2 linked regions of the Danio rerio genome follow. Each later gene encodes a partner of the first gene's protein in a complex. Links are inferred from orthologs where the notes say so. Each region holds a gene or a part of one and is shown on either strand. Other genes may lie near its edges.

What was found.
Region 2: mta3 (region 1) and cdk2ap1 share a complex: the UniProt entries of both Homo sapiens proteins name them as parts of the nucleosome remodeling and deacetylase (NuRD) repressor complex. The link is inferred for Danio rerio from reciprocal best matches to the Homo sapiens genes MTA3 and CDK2AP1.

What each region holds. Positions count from the first base shown.
Region 1 is NC_133187.1:27,003,856-27,008,288, reverse strand, and holds the start of mta3 (metastasis-associated protein MTA3), read right to left. Parts: upstream 2,875-4,433; 5' UTR 2,814-2,874; exon of another isoform or gene 2,710-2,813; 5' UTR 2,672-2,709; coding exon 2,644-2,671; intron 1-2,643. UniProt on the Homo sapiens protein: Acts as a component of the histone deacetylase NuRD complex which participates in the remodeling of chromatin.
Region 2 is NC_133185.1:50,699,280-50,703,802, reverse strand, and holds the start of cdk2ap1 (cyclin-dependent kinase 2-associated protein 1), read right to left. Parts: upstream 2,882-4,523; 5' UTR 2,205-2,881; intron 1-2,204. Other genes in the region: sbno1 (protein strawberry notch homolog 1), read right to left, coding at 2,919-3,061. UniProt on the Homo sapiens protein: Inhibitor of cyclin-dependent kinase CDK2. Also acts as a component of the histone deacetylase NuRD complex which participates in the remodeling of chromatin.

The sequences.
Region 1 (4,433 bases):
TGTTGTTTTAATGAAATTTGATACCAGACACCTTATTGAGAAAAACACCTCTGCATTTCACGATGCAGGTGTCTGTAGTCCTTCACTGACTTGGTAGGTGCAAAGAATAATGTCAAACAGCCGTGTGTTTGTGTATAGACCAGGTGTGGGCAAACTTGATCCTGGAGGGCCAGTGTCCTGCATAGTTTAGCTCCAACCTTATTCAAATAGACCTCATCATAGAGTTCTAGTGATCTTGAAGACACTGATTGGTTTGTTCAGGTGTGTTTGACTAGTGTTGGAACAAAGCTCTGCAGGGACACCGGCCCTCGAGGATCAAGTTTGCCCATCCCTGGTATAGACTACTGTATCTTGACGCAAAATGCGGCGAAAATCCTACACAACAGTACCAGTTTGATTAAAATGTTTACATGTCTGTACTGCACTTCAATACTGCAACTAGATCGGCATGTGCCACATGTTGTAATTTGATTTCTGTTTAGTTCGATTATGACGTTAATTAGATTTTTTTATTGTGGTTTACATGGTAGACTCTTAATCAGAGTATTGTCTCAAATCAGATAATTGTTGTCCATGTAAACAATAACTGATGTTTAAATCCATCTCATTTGGCCACTTCAGTAAATTAGTAAAGTAGCCAAATGAGATGGATTTAAACATCCATTATTGTTTACATGGATAATAATAATCCATTTCGAGACAATACTCTGATTAAGAGTCTACCATGTAAACCACAATAAAAAAATAACAATCCAATTAATGTCATAATCGAACTAAACAGAAATCGAATTACAACATGTGCCACATGCCGATCTAGTTGCAGTATTGAAGTGCAGTACAGACATGTAAACATTTAAGAGAGTCTATGTTTGGATGTATGAATGAGCCATTTGTCATTTTTATATATAATATTGTGATATAAGCTTGTGGACCATATATTTAAGCATGAAAATAAGGAGTGAAGCAGGTTTTGTTTCTGCTTTTATAGCCAGAAAACTACATTAAACACCAGACATGCTTTCATGCACCAATTTCTGTTCATCTAAATGAATTAAATCGAATTGCACATCAGTTTACACAATCTAAAAACTATCATCAGATTCAAACATCAGTTTATTTGCTTTATACATTCTGATTGAAACATTTGCGACTGAAACTTGTGACATCATATCACACTTTAGAAAACAGCATGGAAGTAACACCAACAGATCTCATTATTGCTATTTTTGCCCTGTTGGCAACGACATACACATTCGTAAACCAGCAACATACATTTTTTGTGAAATTTTACTTTTTCCATCGATAAGTTCTCTACCTGATGCCATCATGGCAACTAAAGGCATGTATGTAAACTTAAACACCATGTATTTCAAGTCACAGCACTGTGCATATGCCTCGGACAATTTTGCACACTAAAGAATTTTTGGGTAAAGGATACATTCCTTACAGTTAGGCATAACTGATAACATTATCATTTCGATTGCAGGAATTCTTCTTGCACTTACATTACGGTAATGATGAAAATCCCTAGAAATGGCACATTTTATAATGCAATGTTTTTTTTTACTATTCTAAAACATTACCAATTGTGTTGTGTGACCTGACAAGACACTAAGACCTTCAGCTTGGCCTTTGACTGAGGCTAAGAAATGGTTTGTTTCTGGGATACATTTGTATATATAGCATTTGTCAAAAACAAGACGACGAGGTGAAGAATGTGCATTCATTAACAAACACTTCATTCATGCAAACAAGCATTTTCTCTTCATTGCCATTTAAATGACATTCTTACACATGTATCAACACATAACATCACACAAGGAGCATGTCATAAGGTAACCGCGCAAAGTATTCAATTATTACAAATGCTATTAGATTTGCAGTGAATTCATAGGAAGTTTGCTCGTCCAGCTGCAAAAGCATTTTCAATGGCACTGCATTATCGCCGCCATGAAACAATGTCAAATTCCGCGGCATGTAGCCGGCTAATTGCACAAACAAACGACGCGACGGTATTGTTAAATACACGCTGTTAATTACACGCGTGACAACAAATGCACATCAAAACAGTGCAAATTCTTAACGCTTCGGCAAATAAGTGGGCAGAAGTTGAATGTGGTTTCTCTAAGGAAATCGAGTGAGGGGTGTTAAATGCTAGCTCGCTTTGCTACCTTGCATGCCGAATGAGAACCCGTAACTAATGGATACGTGCCAAAAAATGAGACAAATGATCACAAAGAAAAACATCGGCGTCTAAAATTGCAATGGTTAAATAGCAAGCATATCTCGCTTTTAACCTATGTGGGTAAATCTAAGAGAAACGTGCTCTAAGTGCGCGTTTCCGATTGTTTTACATATAGTAGTGATTATTTGTTTATGATGTGGCTAGCTAGCAACATAGCCTGCTTGCTAAAATGCTAGTGCGGCTATGATAGTTTAAGAGGCCTGACCCAAATCAGAACCCAAAATATTCTGCATCCACGTTATCGTTTTCTTTTGCAAGGACACTGCACGTGTTAAAGAGTTTAAAAGTGAGCGGCCGGTTTCGGGAATTCGCTTGAAATGAGTCCCTGCCTTCCAGTCAGGTCTTACGGTGGTGCCTGTGTTTTGACTTGCGTTAATTCAGAATATAGACGGACATACCTCCGACCCGGTACATGTTGGCCGCCATTTCTGCCCTCCCGGAGTGTTAAAAAACCAAACCATAAACTAAAATAAAAACAAAATAAATATGTGAATCAAGAAGGCATCTACGTCCTGTGACCTGTTGGAAAGCAATCTGGCTTAAGAAGTTTTAAATAAGGGGGGTGGACCTCAGTAAGAATAGGAGATTTTTTTGCAGCCCCCCTCCCGAGATTCACAGTACAATACAGTAACTCACTCACGCGCTAGAAAAGGCTCGAGCGCAGCAGCTTCCTGATGATGAGATGAGAGGAGGAGAGAAAAGAGGAGGGAAGGAAGAAGGAGGGTGAATGAAGTCTACAGACTGCAACCTCAACACGACACTCATGACTGTTTTACCCACAGAATTCAATTAATCATGGTTTTGATGTGCATTTAAATCATTTAAAATAACGTTTTCATATTTTGCCAGTTTTTTTGTTATGACAATAAGTGTCTTTTAAAAGCTGTCAATTGTGGAAAACAAGATTGATATACTTGATTCACTGTTTAATTTAGTTTTGAACATATCACAACCCGATGCACAATGTTTTAGCAACCTATTTATATGAGTGGCAAAACCCAGTTAACACCAATAATAAATGCTGACACTTTGTTTGGTTTTATTAGCATGCTACTTTATCTGTCTGTGTCTGTTGTTCTTAAAAAATACTTTTATTGAGGTTTTAATAGTTTAAACAATATATTGTATATGAAATAATAATATATTTAACAACCGAAAAAGTACTTGCCTTTCAATCTGCTGTGAATTTATTATTATTATTTATTTTTTCTTTTATTTACCTCATTAAGGTGGCACAGTGGCTCAGTGGTTAACACTATCGCCTCACAACTAGAGGGTTGCTGATTCAAGTCCTGGCTGTGTCAGTTGGCATTTCTGGGTGGAGTCTGCATGCTCTCCCTGTGTTTGTGTGGGTTTCCTCCAGGTGCTCCGGTTTCCCCCACAGTCCAGAGCAAAGGTGTAGATTTGGCCTGGATGGAGGGCATATGTCCCCACCAATATCTATCAATTACTGAACTATCCCCACCAATAATTGAATCACCTTCAAAATAAAATAATGCTCCATCAACCCTTGTTAACCTAGATATGCAGAAATGGTTAGTGACATTCTCTTCCTGGGTCCTCCCTCCCACAAACACATAAGGACAGTGTGATTGGCTGGGCCTATTTATGCTGTTATTGACAGCTTTAATTAAAAATCAAATAGTCCTCATTAATTAGTCACTTTTGGTAAAATCATGAATGAATAAACATAATGAAACTGCCTTTCCAGTACAGGGGTTCATGAATTAGTGTACTCTCGGGGTTGGGTTGCGGGTATGAAGGGCATCCAAATCATATGCCAGACTAATTGGTGGTTTCTTCCGCGGTGGCAACCCCTGATAAAACAGGAACTAAGCTTAAAGAAGATGAGCGAGGGAGCAAGTAACAGCCACCAAAGACCAACCATTAAGAAAAGTCAACACATAGCCTTGCATTGACTCACTCACTATCCTTCATTTATTAGTGGTCGCCACAGCAGATTGAACCGGCAATTACTCTGGCATATGTTTTATGCAGCCCTTCCAGCTGCAACCCAGTGAGGAGAAAGACCCATACACTCTCTCATTCACACACACATTCTTTCACTGTGTGTGATTTATTTATAAAATAATTTCGAGAGGATCTTGTGCTTATGATCAACACGGCTGGCACCTCATTAGCTCTGTAATCTGCTCTATTAGATGATTACGGAAGCATTATAAATAAC
Region 2 (4,523 bases), on another chromosome or scaffold:
GGAGTGGGGAAAACTGCAGGAATCCAGTTTAAGAGCCATGAGCTAAAGGGTCAGTTCCCCCACACATGACAATAGCGTCTTCATTTACTCACCCTTTAACTCTCACACCACCTTTATTTCTTCTGCTGAACACCAAATACGATGTTTTGAAGAACGCTGGAAAAGGGTAACCATTGACTTCTACTGTATTTGTTTCACACTATTGAAGTCAATGGTTACAGGCTTGTAACATTTTTAAAGAGACAGTACACTCAAAAATCAATATTTACTCACTTTTGACTCTGACTATTCTGTTTGAAGATGTTAAAAAAAAAAAATGTTGAAAACCGGTAACCATTGACTGCCATAATAGAAAAGCAGACACTATGGTAGTCAATGGTTACAGGTTTCCAGCATTCTTCAAAATATCATCTTCAGTGTTTGACAGAGAAGTGAAGCCTATAACAGTTTAACACACTCTCGGGTGAGTGCATTGTCAGTTATGGATGAACTGTCCCTTTAAAATTCTTCAAATACGCCAGAATTGTTTTTTCACCCTCTAAATATGAAATACGTGATTTATAGACGCATAAACTCCTCCACGTGACGACATCGTGTCTTACAACTTTTTACCTTGCCACAGCCGCATCAGTGTCTGGATGGAAAAGGTTTCAGTAATTTAGGGCGGGGCTAGAAATAATTTAAAGTTGAACTGTCTGTGTTCAAGGAAAAGCTATGAGTAATTTAGGGCGGGGCAATCATTAATTTAGGGTGGAGCTATCAGTAACTTAGGGTGAGGCTATCATTAATTTAGGGCGGAGCAATCATTAATGTAGGGTGGAGCTATCAGTAAATTAGGGTGAGGCTATCATTAATTTAGGGCGGGGCAATCATTAATTTAGGGTGGAGCTATCAGTAACTTAGGGTGAGGCCATCATTAATTTAGGGCGGAGCAATCATTAATTTAGGGACGGAGCTATCAACAATTTAGGGCGGGGCTATCATTAATTTAGAGTGGAGCTATCAGTAATTTAGGGCGGGGCTATTATTAATTTAGGGCAGGGCAATCATCAATTTAGGGTTGAGCTATCAGTAATTTAAGGCGGGACAATCATTAATTTAGGGTGGGGCTATCAGCAATTTAGCGAGGGGCTATCATTCATTTAGGGTGGGGCTATCAGTAATTAATGGTGAGGCAATCAATAATTTAGGGCGGGACAATAATTAATTTAGGGTGGGGCTATTAGTAATTCAGGGTGGAGCTATCAGTGATTTAGGTTGAGGCTATCATTAATTTAGGGCGGAGCAATCATTAATTTAGGGTGGAGCTATCAGTAATTTACGGTGGGCTATCAGTAGTTTAGGGTGGGGCTATCAGTAATTTAGGGAGGGGCTATCAGTAATTTAGGGAGGGGCTATCAGTAATTTAGGGAGGGGCTATCAGTAGTTTAGGGTGGGGCTATCAGTAATTTAGGGAGGGGCTATCAGTAATTTAGGGAGGGGCTATCAGTAGTTTAGGGTGGGGCTATCAGTAATTTAGGGAGGGGCTATCAGTAATTTAGAGAGGGGCTATCAGTAATTTAGGGAGGAGCTATCAGTAATTTAGGGTGGGGCTATCAGTAATTTAGAGAGGGGCTATCAGTAATTTAGGGTGGGGCTATCAGTAATTTAGGGCGGAGCTTTCAGTAATTTAGGGTGGGGCTATCAGTAATTTAGGGCTGAGCTATCAGTAATTTAGGGTGGGGCTATCAGTAATTTAGGGCGGGGCTATCAGTAATTTAGGGAGGGGCTATCAGTAGTTTAGGGTGGGGCTATCAGTAATTTAGGGAGGGGCTATCAGTAATTTAGAGAGGGGCTATCAGTAATTTAGGGAGGGGCTATCAGTAATTTAGGGAGGGGCTATCAGTAATTTAGGGAGGGGCTATCAGTAATTTAGAGAGGGGCTATCAGTAGTTTAGAGAGGGGCTATCAGTAATTTAGGGAGGGGCTATCAGTAATTTAGGGAGGGGCTATCAGTAATTTAGGGTGGGGCTATCAGTAATTTAGGGCAGAGCTTTCAGTAATTTAGGGTGGGGCTATCAGTAATTTAGGGCAGAGCTTTCAGTAATTTAGGGTGGGGCTATCAGTGGTTTTCAGTCTTACAGATGAGACCTAAAACAAAGCTCCTGACTATCTGTGCTCATTAATAACCTCAGGGCACTTCTGGTAAAGAGTAGGGGTGTAACCTCGGTGTCCTGGCCAAACTCCCTCCATCAGCTCCATCCACTGAACTGGCTCCATCACTGTCTCTCCACTCCACCTCTAGCTGGTGTGTGGTGAAGCACTGGCGCTGTTGTCCTGCACACTGGTGGTGTTGTCGTCATGTGTATGAACTGTATAAATGCACATGATTCACTTACTCTCACTTATAACTGCAGATGAACTGCAGAATGTAAAGGTGAGCAGGCGTGCCGTCTCCTCTCCTCCACTGAGCTGAACACAACAGAGGAGCACATCACATGAACCACAGCCGTCAAATCGAGGTAATCCACAAGATTTATTGGTCAAATGCAAGAGGTAGAGGTCTTGCAGTCAGTTATATTCTCTGTACATCAGATCCGTCAGTAGTGCAACTCGTGCAGAGATGAAGGACACGCAGAGCAGAAGAACATCACATGTCAGATATACACGGAGAGAGAAGAGTCCAACATGTACAGCAGACGAGCTCCGGGAGCCGCTCCTCCACACAACAACACAAAAACAAGAACCATTAAAAAGCAAGAGTTGGAGAGGCTCCAGCCGGCCCGCCACACGCTCTCAGACGGCCAGGAGACAGAGCCACGTCCTGAAGCGGAGCTGATCCATGCAGAGCGTCTGTCCGCATGCTGGAGGAGAAGCAGACCCCGGGGGACTGTGGGAAACCCTGAGCGCAGTCGGTCTGTCCTGTGTGTGTGTGTGTGTTACGTGAGAGGTGTGTGTGTGAGGCTCTGCGGGTGCAGCTGCTGCCATAAATGTTGCTGCTGCACCGCCAGCTGCTGACTCTGATCTGATGATGACAGGATGTTGACCAGCGGAGACACACAGTTCTGCGGGATGATCAGACCTGAGGAAAACACACACACACACACACACACACACACACACACACACACACACACACACACACACACACACACACACACACACACACACACACACACACACACACACACACACACACACACACACACACACGGAGGAGGAGTGAGGCTCTGGCTGTGTCCCGAATCACACACTTCTGCACTGTATAGCATGTTAACAGCGTCTCTGCAGATATCATGATGTCAAATTTAAGACCTTTTACGATCTTTTTAAGACCATTAAGTATTAAATTTAAGACCTATATCGCAATATCAAGAACACACGACAGAAAATGTAGAAGCACAAAATTAGGGGTAAAATAAAGTTATTTAGATTGAACAGTAGTAAAGTCAGGTTAAATGCACCAGTGAACTACAGAAAAACAAACATCTAAATGCAGATTTATACTTTCACCTGGCGCCGCACAACTCACAAAACAGATTAAGACTTTTATACTCGACACGTTCACCATTGAGATATATTTTTGACAGGGGGCACTCCAAAACAACAGACAGTAAAATCAGACGAGTAAAAAGATCATCATCATCATCACTGAAGATGTTTTTGAAGGCCTCTTTTTTGTTTTAACAAACTCATCCCTCAGAGTTTTCCCAAAGTTTTACAAAAGCTTTCCTCCTTTCCCATGGCTGTTGCAGTTTCTAGCCAATAATTATTGGTCAATCTGGCAAGCAGAAGTGTAGCTGTGATAGAAAATAGGTAAAGACTTGATTATGTATTATAGCCTACTGTACTGTTCACTCTTCAAATAAATCCCACTATCAGTCCCATTTTATCACTGAAATAAAGTGCACACGTGTCTGCTGTACAGTGTTGTGTGAAGTACAGTAAAGTGCTTCAGTTACTCTGTTGTGGTAATACTACAGTTGCTATGGTAAGTGTATAATAAACTCCCCAGTGCTTAAGTTTTTTACAATATATTGTATATTATTCTACAATTCACCACACTTTACTGTAGTAAAACTGCACTGTATTTCATTTATCAGTTCACTATTCTTAACACTACAGTACGCTGAAGCATCTCTGGAAAAGCACGAGAGGAGTGCGACCGAGCGAGAGCAGATCATTCGCACGTGAGCAGCCGGTGTTTTGAGAGCTCGCGAGCAGTTTTGTCTATGAAGGAAACCGGTGCGTGAGCAGAGATTCGCTCTCTCGTATTACAGCGCTCCCGACTTATAAAACTGCACTTGCGACATTTGTCAGTGAAATAACGGCACACTCTGCCAGCCGAAATCATCACGCACACTCAAAGCGAACTACCGCAAACACAGCGATGACGTCACATTCACCGCGCGCACTGAGTTTAATAACAGAAAGCTGATTGGCTATTGCAAGCTGACTTTTTTGTAGTTGTAATACCGCAAATTACAATTGGACTAGTGAAATACAGAAGAACTACAACACCCCAAAAACCAAGCAACAATAAC